Anolis sagrei: one gene and its partner. The protein of the gene in region 2 interacts with the protein of the main gene of each other region in a biochemical or structural test. Links are inferred from orthologs where the notes say so. Each region holds a gene or a part of one and is shown on either strand. Other genes may lie near its edges. The genes, in order: homeobox protein SIX1-like and EYA2.

What was found.
Region 1: the proteins of EYA2 (region 2) and homeobox protein SIX1-like form a complex in vitro, tested with the Homo sapiens proteins (2 studies listed by IntAct, with this or other methods). The link is inferred for Anolis sagrei from reciprocal best matches to the Homo sapiens genes EYA2 and SIX1.

Annotation. Positions count from the first base shown.
Region 1 is NC_090021.1:332,794,825-332,802,644, forward strand, and holds the start of homeobox protein SIX1-like, read left to right. Parts: upstream 1-4,090; 5' UTR 4,091-5,901; coding exon 5,902-6,461; intron 6,462-7,820. UniProt on the Homo sapiens protein: Transcription factor that is involved in the regulation of cell proliferation, apoptosis and embryonic development. Plays an important role in the development of several organs, including kidney, muscle and inner ear.
Region 2 is NC_090024.1:219,245,638-219,253,605, forward strand, and holds the start of EYA2 (eyes absent homolog 2), read left to right. Parts: upstream 1-4,377; 5' UTR 4,378-4,425; coding exon 4,426-4,439; intron 4,440-7,968. UniProt on the Homo sapiens protein: Functions both as protein phosphatase and as transcriptional coactivator for SIX1, and probably also for SIX2, SIX4 and SIX5.

The DNA of each region.
Region 1 (7,820 bases), on a different chromosome or scaffold from region 2:
GAAGGAAGGAAGGAAGGAGAGAAAGAAAGAAAGAAAGAAAGAAAGGGAAGGAAGGAAGGAAGGAAGGAAGGAAGGAGAGAAAGAAAGAAAGAAAGGGAAGGAAGGAAGGAAGGAAGGAAGGAAGGAAGGAAGGAAGGAAGGAGAGAAAGAAAGGGAAGGAAGGAATGAAGGGAGGGAGGAAGGAAGGAAGGAAGGAAGGAAGGAAGGAAGGAAGGAGGGAGGGAGGGAAGGAGGGAAGGAGGGAAGGAGGGAAGGAAGGAAGGAGAGAAAGAAAGAAAGAAAGAAAGAAAGGGAAGGAAGGAAGGAGGGACGGAAGGAAGGAAGGAAGGAAGGAAGGAAGGAAGGAAGGAAGGAAGGAAGGAGGGAGGGAGAGAAGGAAGGAAGGAAGGAAGGAAGGAAGGAAGGAGAGAAAGAAAGAAAGGGAAGGAAGGAGGGAGAGAAGGAAGGAAGGAAGGAGAGAAAGAAAGAAAGAAAGAAAGAAAGAAAGGGAAGGAAGGAAGGAGGGAAGGAAGGAGAGAAAGAAAGAAGAGAAAGAGGGAGGGAAGGTTGGTCATAGCAAAGTGTGGCAAGTACAGCTAGTGTGTGTGTGTGTGTGTGTGTGTGTGTGTGTGTGTGTAGGGACAGCCTTATTCTGGAGCTTCTTGGGGAATAATAAATAATGGCTGCTTGCAATCTATGTTATGCATTGAAATGAAGGATATTAGAGGCCTAGAGGACACTTCCAGGCACACATTCTGCTTCTAAGGCCCTTCCAGACAGACCCTATACCCCAGGATCTAATCCCAGGTTTTCTGTTTATCCCAGATTATCTGGCAGTGCAGACTGATATAATCCAGTTAAACAGAAAACCTGGTATCAGATCCTGGGATATAGGGCCTGTCTGGAAGTGCCCTAAGAGTCCTCATGTTTAAAGATGTTTTTAATGGTAATGGATAGGAAAAGTCATTAGCCCTCCCACTGCAAGGACCTTTGAGTTGGCCATATTGAATGAACACAACCTCCCTTGCATTTAGAAAGCCATTTCTGCTATTCCCTGGTGGTCATCCATCCAGGTTCTTAACCAGGCCAGACCCAAACCAGGCTAGGTTTCCAGATGATAATAAATAAAGGAGACAGGGGAGGTAACCACACTCTTGATCCCCTTCAGGCCCGAGTTAAATATGCCCCTTTAATTATATCGCCAGGCAGACTATTCATCTGGGCCATGATTTATTCATCCCCAGCATTAAGGTAATGAAATATGAGCTCACCAGGAGCAAACAGGTCTGAAAAAGGAAGGAGATGGAGAGAGAGAAGAGGGAGCCAAGGGGGGCATCTCCACTGGAGAATGGATGCAGTTTGACACCACTTGAAGAGTCATAGCTCCATTCTGTGCAATCCTGGGAGAAGAAGTTCTAAGACAGGGGCCTACTTGGGCTCTCCAGGTGTTTGGACTCCAACTCCCACAATTCCCAACAGCCTCAGGCCCTTTCCTTTCCCCCCTCAGCCGCTTAAGCGGCTGAGAGGGGAAAGGAAAGGGCCTCAGGCTGTTGGGAATTGTGGGAGTTGGAGTCCCAAACACCTGGAGAGCCCAAGTTGGCCCATGCCTGTTCCATCAGGCCTGTAGCCTTTTCTGCCAGAGTGCCTGGGCCTCATCAAACTATAACTCCCATGATTCTGTAGCATGGAGCTATCAAAGTTAAAGTGGGGTCAAAATGCATCAATTCTACAGTGCAGATGCACCTGCAGTGTGGTCACTGATGTTCCAGGGTAATTTCCTGCTGTGCCTTTCTGAAAAATTGATTGTTGTGTTTGCTATCAGTGATGGCCTAGCTTCTGCCCTAGCTTCTAGCTTCTAGCTCTAGCTTCTGCCAACCTAGCAGTTCGAAAACATGCAAATGTGAGTAGATCAATAGGTACCGCTCCGGCGGGAAGGTAACGGTGCTCCATGCAGTCATGCCGGCCACATGACCTTGGAGGTGTCTATGGACAACGCTGGCTCTTCGGCTTAGAAATGGAGATGAGCACCACACCCCAGAGTCAGACATGACTGGACTTAATGTCAGGGGACTACCTTTACTTTTTATCAGTGATGGAGAGAGATAGGCAGAGAGAAAGACATTGTCACAAGTGGGGGAAGTGGCTTTTTTTGGACAGACAGCTCTCACAATCCCCCAAACAATGAGCTCTGAGTTTAGAAGAGTGGCCTTTGGGGACAAACACTCCTTCGACCATCCAAAACAGAGCTTGGGAAGCTGGCTTTTTGAAGAGACACCTCACAGAATCCCCTCTGACAGATATTTTTGGAATGGTCATAGAATAGAATCATAGAGTTGGCAGAGACCTCATGGGCCATCCAGTCCAACCCCCTGCCAAGAAGCAGGAAAATTGCATTCAAAGCACCCCTGACAGATTGCCATTTAGCCTCTGTTTGAAAACCTCCAAAGAAGGAGCCTCCACCACACTCCAGGGCAGGGAGTTCCACTGCTGAACAGCTCTCACAGTCAGGAAGTTCTTCCTAATGTTCAGATAGAATCTCCTTTCTTGTAGTTTGAAACAATTGCTCCATTGCGTCCTAGTCTCCAGGGCAGCAGAAAACAAGCTTTTCCCCTCCTCCCTATGCTTTCCTCTCACATATTTATACATGGCTATCATGCCTCCTCTCAGCCTTCTCTTCTTCAGGCTAAACATGACCAGCTCTTTAAGCCGCTCCTCATAGGGCTTGTTCTCCATACCCTTGATCATTTTAGTCGCCCTCCTTTGGACACATTCCAGCTTGTCAATTTCTCTCTTCACTTGTGGTCATCCCAAAGCCTTAACTGACTGGAATATATTTGTGGGAGTTGTCCTCAATTTAGGGGAATTGGTGGGATTCTGGGAGTGGTCATCCCAAAAACTGGGGGAAATTCTAAGAGCTTTGTCGAGGGCTTTCACTGGGTTGTTGTAAGTTTATTGTCGAAGGCTTTCATGGCTGGAATCACTAGGTTCTTGTGGGTTTTTTCGGGCTATAGGGCCATGCTCTAGAGGCATTTCTCCTGACGTTTCGCCTGCATCTATGGCAAGCATCCTCAGAGGTAGTGAGGTCTGTTGGAACTAGGACAATGGGTTTATATATCTGTGGAATGGCTGGGGTGGGGCAAAGAGCTCTTCTCTGCTGGAGCTAGGTGAGAATGTTTCAACTGACCGCCTTCATTAGCATTTGAAGGCCTGGCTGAGCCTGGGAAAATCTTTTGTTGAGAAGTGTTAAGATGTTATAAGTTTTTCCGGCTGTATAGCCGCGTTCCAGAAGCATTCTCTCCTGACCTTTCACCTGCATCTATGGCAGGCATCCTCAGAGGTAGTGAGGTCTGTTGGAATTAGGACAATGGGTTTATATATCTGTGGAATGGCTGGGGTGGGGCAAAGAGCTCTTCTCTGCTGGAGCTAGGTGTGAATGTTTCAAGTGACCACCTTCATTAGCATTTGAAGGCCTGGCTGAGCCTGGGAAAATCTTTTGTTGAGAGGTGTTAAGATGTTGTAAGTTTTTCCGGCTGTATAGCCGCGTTCCAGAAGCATTCTCTCCTGACCTTTCACCTGCATCTATGGCAGGCATCGTCAGACGTTGTGAGAATGCCTGTCATAGATGCAGGCGAAATGTCAGGAGATAATGCTTCTGGAACGTGGCCATACAGCCCCCAAAAGTTTCAACAACACACTCTAAGAGGGATTTGTGTATCTGTCGGATTGTGGGAGTTGCTGTGTATCTGTCGGATTGTGGGAGTTGCCCCAAAAGCTTAGCTGGCGAGAGGGGATTGTGGGAGTTGTTGTTCCAAAAGGTGACGTTGCCAAGCTCTCCTTCTCGCCTTCTTTCCTTTCCTTCCTCACCCCAAGCCACAGCTTCGTCCCTGACCACTGCCCAGCCAGTCTGCTGCCTGTCTGCCTGCCTCCTTCTGCGCCTGCGCCCTCCTCGCCTGCCTGGCTTTGGCTGGGGCTGCTTGGCTTGGCTTTCTGTCTGTCCGGCCCTGGAGCGCCTGGCCCTCCTCCTCCCTATAGGCGCCGGCGGCAGCCAATCAGCGAGCGCCCTGAGGCGGGGAACCAGGGGGAGGGTGGGGGCGCCTTTAAGCCCGGCTCTGGCAAGACCAGCAACCTACAAAAAACATAAAAGTTTCCTCCGGTAGAAGAAGGGACCTCTCCGGCGGCATCTCTTTTCCTGGCGGCTGCTGCTGTCGGAAGAGAAGACCTCTCCTTGTTGGCCCTTCGCTCGGGGGCACACTCTTCCCCCCCGAAGAAGGAGGAGAAGGAGAAAGGGAAGGAGAAGGAGAAGAGGAAGGAGGAGAAGGAGAGAGAGAAGGAGAAAGAGAAGAGGAAGGAAGAGAAAGAGAGAGAGAAGGAGAAGGAGGAGAAGGCTACTTTTTGTCGGTCTCCAAAGTCCCTTCTCCTCTGAAGAAGCAGCCTTGGGAATCTTCTTTCTCTCGGTCTCCAAGATCCCTTCTCCTCTGAAGAAGCAGTCTTTGGAAGCTGCTTTCCCTCGGTCTCCAAGATCCCTTCTCGTCTGAAGAAGCAGCCTTGGGAATCTTCTTTCTCTCGGTCTCCAAGATCCCTTCTCCTCTGAAGAAGCAGTCTTTGGAAGCTGCTTTCTCTCCGTCTCCAAAATCCCTTCTCCTCTGTAGAAGCAGTCTTTGGAGGCTGCTTTCTCTCGGTCTCCAAGATCCCTTCTCCTCTGAAGAAACAGCCTTGGGAATTTTCTTTCTCTCGGTCTCCAAGATCCCTTCTCCAAACTGGTCTTTCTCCAGCCTTGGGAAGCTCCTTCTTCTCGCTCTTTGGAGAGGGAACATCTCCGAGGAGAGCGCCCAGCCCCAGCCCTGGATTCTGGGCTTCATCTTGGCCCTTTCTCCTCTCCAAGAGGGTCTTTCTCCTCGGAGGAAGCCTTGGGAACTAAGCTGCCCTCTCTGAAACTAGAAGAGAGTTGCGAGACCTCTTTGGAAACTGGCCCTTGCAAAGGGAAACCTCCGCCGGGAGAGAGCGCGACAGCAACCCGGGTTTGGAGGCTGCTTTACATTTCTCTTTCTGTCTGAACTGGCTTTTCTCCTCTTTCCAAACTGGCCTTTCTTTCTCCTGTGAAGAAGAAGCCTTGGGAAGCGCCTTCCCTTCGCCTCCACGGGTGCCACAAAATCCTTTTCGGGAAGGAATCCGAGTCCCCGAGTTGAGAGCTTCATTCACTCCAGCCCGGCGTGGGGAACTTTCGCCTTTCTGAACGGATCTTTCTGCTCTGAAGAAGTCTGGAGAAGCCGCCAAGTACTTCCAGAGATTCCAGACCTTTTCCTGTAACTAACCTCCGGAAAACGGCTGTCTCCAGATCTCCGAGGGTGCCGCCAGACCCCTTCCCAACCCGGTCTTTGGGAAGGAAACACCCGCGAGGAGAGCGCATGAGGGCAGCTTCGCGCTCCGAACTTGAGCTCGGCTTCATCGTGGGACTTTCGCCTTCCCGAGCGTATATTTCCCCTTGGAAAGAAGCCTTGGGAAGCTGCTTTCTGTGTGGAAGAAACCTTGGGAAACCGCTTTCCCAAAGGCGCTTTCCAAACTGATCCCAAGGAGAGCGCACAGCCCGGCATTTGGGGCTCGGACTTTGGAAAGAGAGGTGCCCAAGGAGAGCGCACAGCTCGCGCTTGGGACTCCCCAAACTCAATTTTCTCCTTGGAAGAAAGCCCTGGAAAGCTGAGTCTAGGAAAGATCCCTTTCCAAACTGATCCTTTTCTCCTCTGAAGAAGACTTGGGACTCTTGTTTCTCGGGGTGTCCCTTTCCAAGGTGGTTTTGGGGGAGAGAAGAAGACTCGAGGAGGAGCGCGCAGGGCTGAGCTGGGACCCCTTGCTCGGCTTGGCGAGGCCTTCCTCCCGTCCAGTCCCTCTTCCTCTTCCTCCTCTTCCTCTTCCTTCCCGGGGGCCATGTCCCTGCTGCCCTCCTTCGGCTTCACCCAGGAGCAAGTGGCCTGCGTCTGCGAGGTGCTGCAGCAAGGCGGCAACCTGGAGCGCCTGGGCCGCTTCCTCTGGTCGCTCCCGGCCTGCGACCACCTGCACAAGAACGAGAGCGTCCTCAAGGCCAAGGCCGTGGTGGCCTTCCACCGGGGCAACTTCCGAGAGCTCTACAAGATCCTGGAGAGCCACCAGTTCTCGGCCCACAACCACCCCAAGCTCCAGCAGCTCTGGCTCAAGGCGCACTACGTGGAGGCCGAGAAGCTGCGCGGGAGGCCGCTGGGCGCCGTGGGCAAGTACCGCGTCCGGAGGAAGTTTCCGCTCCCGCGAACCATCTGGGACGGCGAGGAGACCAGCTACTGCTTCAAGGAGAAGTCCCGCGGGGTCCTGCGCGAGTGGTACGCCCACAACCCCTACCCTTCGCCCCGAGAGAAGCGAGAGCTGGCCGAGGCCACCGGCCTGACCACCACCCAGGTCAGCAACTGGTTCAAGAACCGGCGGCAGCGCGACCGGGCCGCGGAGGCCAAGGAGAGGTGGGTGCCACACATCAGTCACTCTTTCTGCAAGGAGGTCAGCTTGGGGAAGGGACCTTGGGGGACCACGAGGCCCAGAATCCTCTCCAGACCGCGAAGCTGTTTGGGGGGATTCTGGACCTTGTGGTCCCCCAAGGTCCCTTCTCCAAGTTCCAGCCTCCTTCCTCGAGCTCCAAGCTCCCTAAGCTCCAGCGTACTTCTCCAAACTCCAAGCTTTTGAAACTCCAGACTATTTCCCCAAGCTCCAGTTTGCTCCCCAAGCTCAGGGCTCCCCAAGCTCCAGCCTATTTCCGCAAGCTCCAAGTTCCCCAAGCTTCAGCTTATTTCCCCAAGCTCCAAGCTCCCCAAGATCCAGCCTAATTCCCCAAGCTCCAAATTCCCCAAGCTCCAGCTTACTTCTCCAAGCTCCCTAAGCTCCAGCATAGTTCTCCAAACTCCAAACTTTTGAAGCTCCAGACTATTTCCCCAAGCTCCAGCTTACTCCCCAAGCTCCAAGCTCCCCAAGATCCAGCCTAATTCCCCAAGCTCCAAGTTCCCCAAGCTCCAGCTTACTTCTCCAAGCTCCCTAAGCTCCAGCATAGTTCTCCAAACTCCAAGCCTTTGAAGCTCCAGGCTATTTCCCCAAGCTCCAAGCTCCCCAAACTCCAGCCTATTTATCCAAGCTCCAAGTCCCCCAAGCTTCAGCCTACTTCCCCAAGCTCCAAGTTCCCCAAGCTCCAGCTTATTTCTCCAAGCTCCCCAAGATCCAGCCTACTTCCCCAAGCTCAAAGTTCCCCAAGCTCCAGCTTACTTCCCCAAACTCCAAGCTTCCCAAGCTCCATCCTACTTCCCCAAGCTCCAAGTTCCCCCAAGCTCCAGCCTATTTATCCAAGTTCCAAGTTTCCCAACCTCCAAGCTCCCCAAGCTCCATCCTACTTCCCCAAGCTCGAAGCTCCCCAAGCTCCAGCCTATTTATCCAAACTCCAAGCTCCCCAAGCTCCAGCCTACTTCCCCAAGCTCCAAGATCCTCAAGCTCCATCTTCCCCAAACTCCAAGCTTCCCAAGCTCCAGCCTACTTCCCCAAGTTCCAGTCTACTCCAGCCAATTGTTTGGATCCCCTTAAATTGTCTTTGGGGATGTTCTGGGCCTTGTCACTTCCTCAAGCTCTGAGAGAAACTACCTCGCTGAGGCAGAGTCTTCTGGCACTGGTCTTCCTAAAAAGGTCCTATGAAAACTTAAATTGGCTGATAAGAATGCATGGACTTGTTCCAAAACTCAAACAGTTAGGGAGGGGAAAGATTCTAAGATTTGTCATTCCAAAAAGACACTTCTCCAAATTTCCAACTACACTGTCAGATAAAATCCAGATGATCTGCTTTG
Region 2 (7,968 bases):
ACTGGTGATTTTGTCATTTGGAAGTTGTAGTTTCTGGGATTTATAATTAATCTACAATCAAAGAACATTTTGAAATCCACCAACAATTGGATTGAACTGAACCAAACTTGACACACAGAACTCCCATGACCAACAGAACATACTGGAAGGGTTTGGTGGGCACTGACCTTGAGTTTTGGAGTAGTTCACCTACATCTAGAGTGTACTGTGCACTCAGATGAGTCCATAGTGCTCTCTGGATGTAGGTGAACTATAACTCCAAAACTCAAGGTCAATGTGTCTGGATCAGACTTGGCATGAGTACTAGGCCACTCTCAGTCCCATGTCGCACGGGGTTTTTCCTCCCTGCCATGACGGGACTTGATGGCATGAACCTCACTCCAGCCTTTCATGCTCTACCTTGCCCGCACATGCACACCACGCTGCCATGCGCCGACCATGCCTGCTCTCCCCTCCCTGCTTGGAGTCTCAGAAACAGCCCTCCCCTTAGCTGAGAAGCCAGCTGAGTGGCTGGCTAATCACCACAGGAAGAGGGCTTTTGGTGGGAGGATTCACTGTCTGTTTCCAAAAAGGAAGAGAAGGACAGGCGAGAGACCTTCAGCCTTCTCTGCCAAAGGGGTTTCTAAGACCATCAGAAATATGTGTTTTCTGGTGGTCTTTGGCAACCCCTCTGACAGCCTCCTCACAACCCCCTTAGGGGTCCTGACCCCCAGGTTGAGAAACGCTGCTTTAGAAGAAAGAAGTGAAACTAATTTCTTCTGTAGCTTTAAAATTCCAGTCTTCTTTTTGGCAGGCTGTCTCCTTGTCTTGCCTTCTGTCTTGTTTCCTTGTCTGTTAAAATTCACACAACCTTTTCTTGGTGCTCCTTTGGAACAGACAATTTTACTCTGGAACATAAAACAGCAAAAAGTCATTCTATTAAAACAAAACTGACACTTCTTGTTTATTCCCTAATTTTACTGCTATGATTACAATTCCATGTTTTGAAAGATTATTTTTTTCTTATTCTCCCCCCCCCCCCTCCCTCTTTTTCCTTCTTATGATGTTGTGGGATTTGGCTTACTCAAGGCTTGAGAGAATTGGAATCTATCTGCTTTCCCTGAGGCCTGTGTGCACAGCATTAACAAAGGAGTTATCAAATCCAAAAATCTGATGGGGCTTTAAAAGTTTGGTCATGTCAGCAGTAGACAGTTAGTACTCAGGAGTATAAACAGTCTGTGGAACTGTGCCCGCAGAGTCACCTTGGGAAAAAAAATCATTTTGCAGCTTTTGAAAAATTGTCAGCTTTGCAAAATAAGCATTAACTCGAGTTACAGGTTGGTTTGGGAGCAATGCCAAGAAGAGGGGTGAAAGAAAAATCATCATAACTAAACAGCTTCTAGGGGTTGTATATCAGATCTAGGTGCATCTACAATATAGCATTAATGCAGTTTGATACCACTTTAACCACCATAGCTCAATGCTATGAAATCCAGGGATCTTTAGATTGGTGAGGTATCAGCTCACTGTTTACCAGAGAAGGTTATAGACATTATAAAACTACAATTCCCATTAGTCCCTAACATTGAGCCATGGTAGTTAAATAGTGTTAACCTCCATTAATTCTACAATGTAGATGTATCCCAAGTCACACTATGTCAGGGGTCCTCAAACTAAGGCCCGAGGGCCGGATGTGGCTCTCCAAGGTCATTTACCGGCCCTCGCTCAGGGTCAACCTAAGTCTGAAATGACTTGAAAGCACATAATAACAATACTATCTCATCAGCCAAAAGCAGGCCCACACTTCCCATTGAAATACTAATACATTATTATTTGTTAAAATTGTTCTTCATTTTAATTATTGTATTGTTTTTAAGTGTTTTTTGCATTACAAATAAAATATGTGCAGTGTGCATAGGAATTCATTCATTATTTTTTTTCAAATTATAATCCGGCCCTCAAACAGTTTGAGGGACTGTGACCTGGCCCTCTGTTTAAAAAGTTTGAGGACCCCTTCACTATGTGGTAAATGTGTTTTATCAATAAGATTTTGATTTCTCTTTCTTGAACCTGTATTTAGTTGGAAACTTAGGCCCCTTCCACACATTGAACTGGATTATATAGCAGTGTGGATTCGGATAATCTAGTTCAAAACAGATATTGTAGATTATCAGTCTTGATATTATGGGTTATATGGCTGTGTAGAAAAGCCCTACATCAAAAGTACACCCAGACTGAGGGCCCTTCCACACAGCCCTATATCCCAGAACATCAAGGCAGAAAATGTCACAATATCTGCATTGAACTGGGATATCTGAGTCCACACTCAGATAATGTGGAATTTTCTACTTTAATATTCTGGGATATAGGGCTGTATGGAAGGGTCCCGTTTTATCTGAGTCCACACTTAGATCATGTGGGATTTCATGCCTTGATGTTCTGGGATATAGGGCTGTGTGGAAGGGCCCTTGGGGATTTGCAATTGGAAAAGAGAACAGACAATACATGGGTTGGAGCTCAATGTGAATCAGCCATGATTATATAAAAGAGCCGAGAACCATACAAAGAAGTTAGATTAAGCTGAGCAAGAGTGATTGGCCTAAGTCTCCCAGGGCTCTTCTATGGCCCTTCCACACAACTATTTATTTATTTATTTCGGGCATTTATATCCTGTCCTTCTCACCTCTGAAGAGGGACTCGGGACAGCTTACAATAGGCAACCATCAGGTGCCAACACAGTACATTAGAAATCACAGACACAATTAAACACAATTTAAAAAACAATTATAAAACATTCAATTTAAAAACAGTTCACCGGTTCAAATCATAGTCCAGGTCAATCCATTGCAGTCACTAAAACATTTCCTTTCCTGTTATTCCATCTATTGTTCAAAGGCTTGACCCAGAATATCAAGGCCCCAAATCCCACAATATCTGCTTCTAATTGGGTTAACTGAGTCCACACTGCCATATATTCCAGTTCAAAGCGGATAATGTAGGTTTTTGTTAAGATGTGTGAAAGGCCCTACACTGTCATTATATCCTAGGATCTGATCCCAGGCTTTCTGCTTATCCCAGATTATCTGACAGTGGGGACTCATATAATCCAGTTTTAAGCAGAACACCTGGGATCAGATCCTGGAGTGTAGGGCTAGGGCCTGTCTGGAAAAGCCCTCAGATAGCTTAATGCCTGACTGTTAATTTGAAGCTGGGTCTCAGCAATTTCAGTTTAGCATTCTGAACCCTAAATCAGTCAAGTAATGCAAAAAACAAAACAAAAACAAAACAAAAAAACCCCTAAATAAGAGAAACCTCTGGCCACCTGAAACATCATTTCTGGTTATCACCTGGCATAAGAGGAGTGAAAATGATAATCAGCATATGCCTACCCTTTGTGTAGATCAGTATTTTCCAAACATTAGTTCTCTGGCAGTTTTGGACTTCAATTCCCAGAAGACCCAGTCAGCTTGGCCAACTGTCAGGAATTCTAGGAACTGAAGTCCAAAACATCTGGAAGACCAGAGTTGGGACACACTGCTGTAGATCAACAAAGAACAAGTTTGCACCATTATCTTAGTGACAACCTTTGAAATGTCAGAACATAACTATAACATAACCTGGCATTAATCTCTGTTCCACATAACCAACTCCTAAGGAAACACATTTTTCAGACCCTTTGTCATCCTTCAGTCAATTTTTGTCTTAACCTGAACTGGACGCAGTACCCAAACGTAGGCTTGATCAAAACAGAATTGAATTGTGACATTAATTCTTGTGGACATTATATTCCTGTTTGTGCAACTCAGAATTGAGTTTGCCATTTTAGCTGCCACATTGCATTGCTGACTCATGTTTAGCTTGCGGTTAAGCATTATTCATTCGTAAAGGAATCTCCCATTTGGTGGTGTTTTTGTTTTTGTGGAAGAGGAATTTAGTGAATTCAGGAGGAAAAAACCCATATTGAACTGGAACATTTTTGTAAAACAAAAACATGTTTCTTTTTATGCTGCTTTGCGGCCTGCTTAAAAGGGCATTCTCCAAATAATCTTGCTGGAGCATTTCTGGTAAATTGCTGCAATTGTTTAGAAGAAAGAAACAAATACATATACTGTGTGATTCTTGCCATTTTTGTGGAGGGAGGGATAAGAAGATTGGATGAGGTTTGTTGGCTAAGTGATTGCAAACAAACCGTGCCAAAAGGAGAAAAGTACGAACATTATTATGCCTCTGATTTCCTATTTCCTTAATACGTGTTGACATGCAAGATGATTAAGCAGACCTTTATTATAATCTCATGAATATTGCGAGGTTAAGTTCCTCTGAGTTCACTTGGGCTTTCTAAGGAAGTGCACATAGGACAGCCTGGGGGTATTTCCGCTTCTGCAGAAGTCTTGGATGATCTTTGACTCTCTAGATATCATGGAACAATGTCCATAATCCACTGCCATGAATCATACTAGGTAAGTCTGCTGGGATTGAAGTCCATGGCCTCTGAAGAGCCAGGAACTCACTAACCCTGATTTGCCTTTTTTGTTAAGCATAGTCCCTAGCATAGTAAGAGTCACAGCGGCATCAAAAACTGGTGAATTGCATGATTGGTCTATTGAGTGAAGCATGAAACATAGTATTTTGGAACTGAAGACTTAAGAGTTGGCATTTTGGCACACAAAGTTTGAGATATTTTTGCAAAGAAATGCAGTATATAAGCTATTGTATATGTAAGACTGTGAATATGAGGTTTTTAAAATGCTTAGCTTGGCTTCCTTTCCCTTCAAAATTTCTGTGGTAAAATAAATCTGTTCCTTATTTGAAATGCTATGGTCACCTTTCATCAGTGACAAAGAACGTTGCATAAACAGAAGGAATTGTTCCAAATTCATATATGGAATTTGGATTAGCTTGCATTTATTTTACAATCTAGATGTTAAAAGCACTGCCTGATATTGGCCTAATTAATGTGTGACCATAATCAATAGGCAGATTCATCTGTGTTTTCAGCTTTTGGAGTCAAAAAGCAATTAATGTATTCAAGAAGATTCTGGATAATCAGAAGCTTCAATGCATCGAAGAGTACTATCTCCTACTTATATTGTGTTTGTGGTATTGCTGTGTCCCTAGAAAAATCTCTCATTTATTGTACTGTTTTCATTGGAATTTATATTCCATTAAATTTATATTGATGTTATTTATCTCTTCTTTTGATTTGTCCTGTTGTTCATTATGGTATTGAATGTTTGCCACTTGTGTTCTGGAAACCGCCCTGAGTCCCCTTGAGAAGATAGAGCAGGTTACAAATAAAGTTGTTGCTGTTGTTGTTGTTGTTAATCATCATCAACATCATCATTTTGTTTTAACTTACGTTGTGAGCAACCTTGAATTGCTTGTCAGGGAAGAGTGGATTACAAACAAAATAAAATAAATTGCTATCTTTGGATAGGCTTTTGAAACATAACCCTGCAACTTGCTTTAGCAGAGGGGAAAATGTGACAGATCTACACATTACGAAGAGATGTCTTTTTCAAACTACCCTCAGGTTCTGAAAAAGAAAACCTTCCCAGCCTAAATTGCGGAGCTCCCCCTTCCAGTAGGCAAAGAGATGATCACTTAAGATAGCAAAGACAGCACCAAAAGAGAGAGCTGAGCACTAAGCAGCTTGCCTTGTGACCTCCTAAATGTGCCAGGTTTGGTGGAGGAGGTCATTCCATCTCAGTAGAAAATTCTTCATTCATGTTCTTCTTGACAAAAACAACGGGTAATCTTGGTAATTTTTCCTCCTATGAGAAGGTCTTTGAAAACCATGCAGTTTTTGACATTTACTCAAGATTCAAAACTTCTGTGAAAAAACTTGTGTGTGGCTGTTTTGCCCATAAATATATAATGAATAATATTTTCTGCACAGAAAATGTTTTACAGTATGTACAAATCAACTATGTGTGAATTTTATGTAGAATGAGTCCCCAATTGTAAAGATTCTCATTAGTCCAGGATTCTTCTCATTAAGGTTTTTCATCACTCAAAAACATGTTTTTGACAATTTTTCAGTGGGCTTTTCCAGTTTGGATAGGCACAATCTTGTCCTTCATCTCACACAGTAAAATGTCATCAGCCAGCTGTGCTAAATTTAATAACATTAATGTGGCATAAAGTAGGGAAGGAAATGGGCCATTACACATTTAACTGAAGGTGGAGTTTGCAGTTATTAAATATTATACCTTTAAAAAATATTTGTATAAATGTTACCTAATTCAGCTTGTCTTCCGCTATAGCAGAACCCATTGGCATGCAATTATCTAGTATAGCAAACATCCTAAAATATCTCTTCAGCTGTTGTGGAGTGATTTGTGTGCTGTAATGTGGGGACGTATTTCTACCCTTGAGCACTGTGGGTTTTTTTAAAGATCAGGGTGGGCAACGCCATCCAGTCTAAGGGGCAAGTTTTCATTTCCAGGACCTGTTAAAAGGTAGATGAGAGCTGAAAACAACACATCTAGTTTCATTTCATGATTTCATTCCCACCCTCTCTCTCAACCTCTTTCTTCTCCACTTTCCTCTCCACATTAGAATAGGAATCGTAATAACCTGCAGGCCATGTGCATTCATTAGTGGAGAAGGGCCCTATGTGGAAATCAAGGGACACTGCGTAAGCAGATTGTTTTATATTCGGCTGATAGGGGATCCATCTCTTTGTGGCCTTGGTCTCTTTGGATACATCAAGATTCCGCTTGTTGAGAAAGAGTTGATTTCTACAGAGTTAGTCTTGTCCTATTTTCATCCTCAGCCCAATTCCAAAATGACAGGAATTAATTTCCAATTGGCAGAAATGTCACTTCCAGTTGTCACCAACCCTTCGGATACAGAGAAGGACAAAACAGATGTATGGATGAATGGATCTTGGATTACTGAATCAGAACAAAATTTCATCTATACATGTTTATATATGTTAGCATGGTTTCTTTTGAGGTTCTAGAATAGCCAGAAGACATGAATGTCTCAGTGCTTGTCCAATCGCATGTTGAGTAGAGATATTTCGAAGACATAGGGCTGACTAACATAGGGAAAACATAGATTCTGTAAATATTTTCTCCTGAGGCACCATTTGGTTGTTTTATTTATGGTATCAGAAGTGAACCCAATGTATAGTTGTAATGTATTTTTAAAAACACAGTTTAAAAACTTGGCATTATACTCAATGTCCTTTGACCAGTAGCTGGCCACTTGGAGTGCCCCCGGTGTTGCTATAAGAAGGTCCTCCATTGTGCATGTGGCAGGGCTCAGACTGTATTGTAATAGGTAGTTTGTGGTTTGATCTTCTCTGTACTCACATGTTGTGAACTCCACTTTGTAGCCCCATTTTTTAAGGTTGGCTCTGCATTTCATGGTCCTAGAGTGCAATCTGTTTAGCACCTTCCAAGTCACCAGGTCTTCTGTGTACCCAGGGGAGAGTCTCTCATTCGGAATTAGCCATGGCATGGGTTTTAGCCTGCCACTTTTGGACTCTTGCTTTCTGAGGTGTTCCTGTGAGTATCTCTGTAGATCTTAGAAAACTATTTCTTGATTAAAGGTGTTGGCATGCTGGCTGATATCTGAACAGGGGATGGGCCAGAAATGTCGCTGCCTTGGTCCTTTCATTATTAACTGCTACTTCCTGGCGAATGTCAGGTGGTGCAATACTGGCTACACAGTATAATTTCTCCAATGGTGTAGGGTGTAGATATCCTGTGATAATGCGGCATGTTTCATTAAGAGCCGCATCTACTGTTTTAGTGTAGTGAGATGTATTCCACATTGGACACACTGGCCATTTGGTCACTTTGAATGTCTTCTGCAAGGACAGTATTTTCAAACAGTCTCTATGAAAGTAAAACTGATTAATGAATTGATAGGTTTGCTACATTTTTTTCTCATAGAGATCATTTGTCAACAATTGCTGCAGAACAGGTTGAAATTCTGCAAATGAAGCAGTCTCCAGGCATAGTGACAAGAGTATAT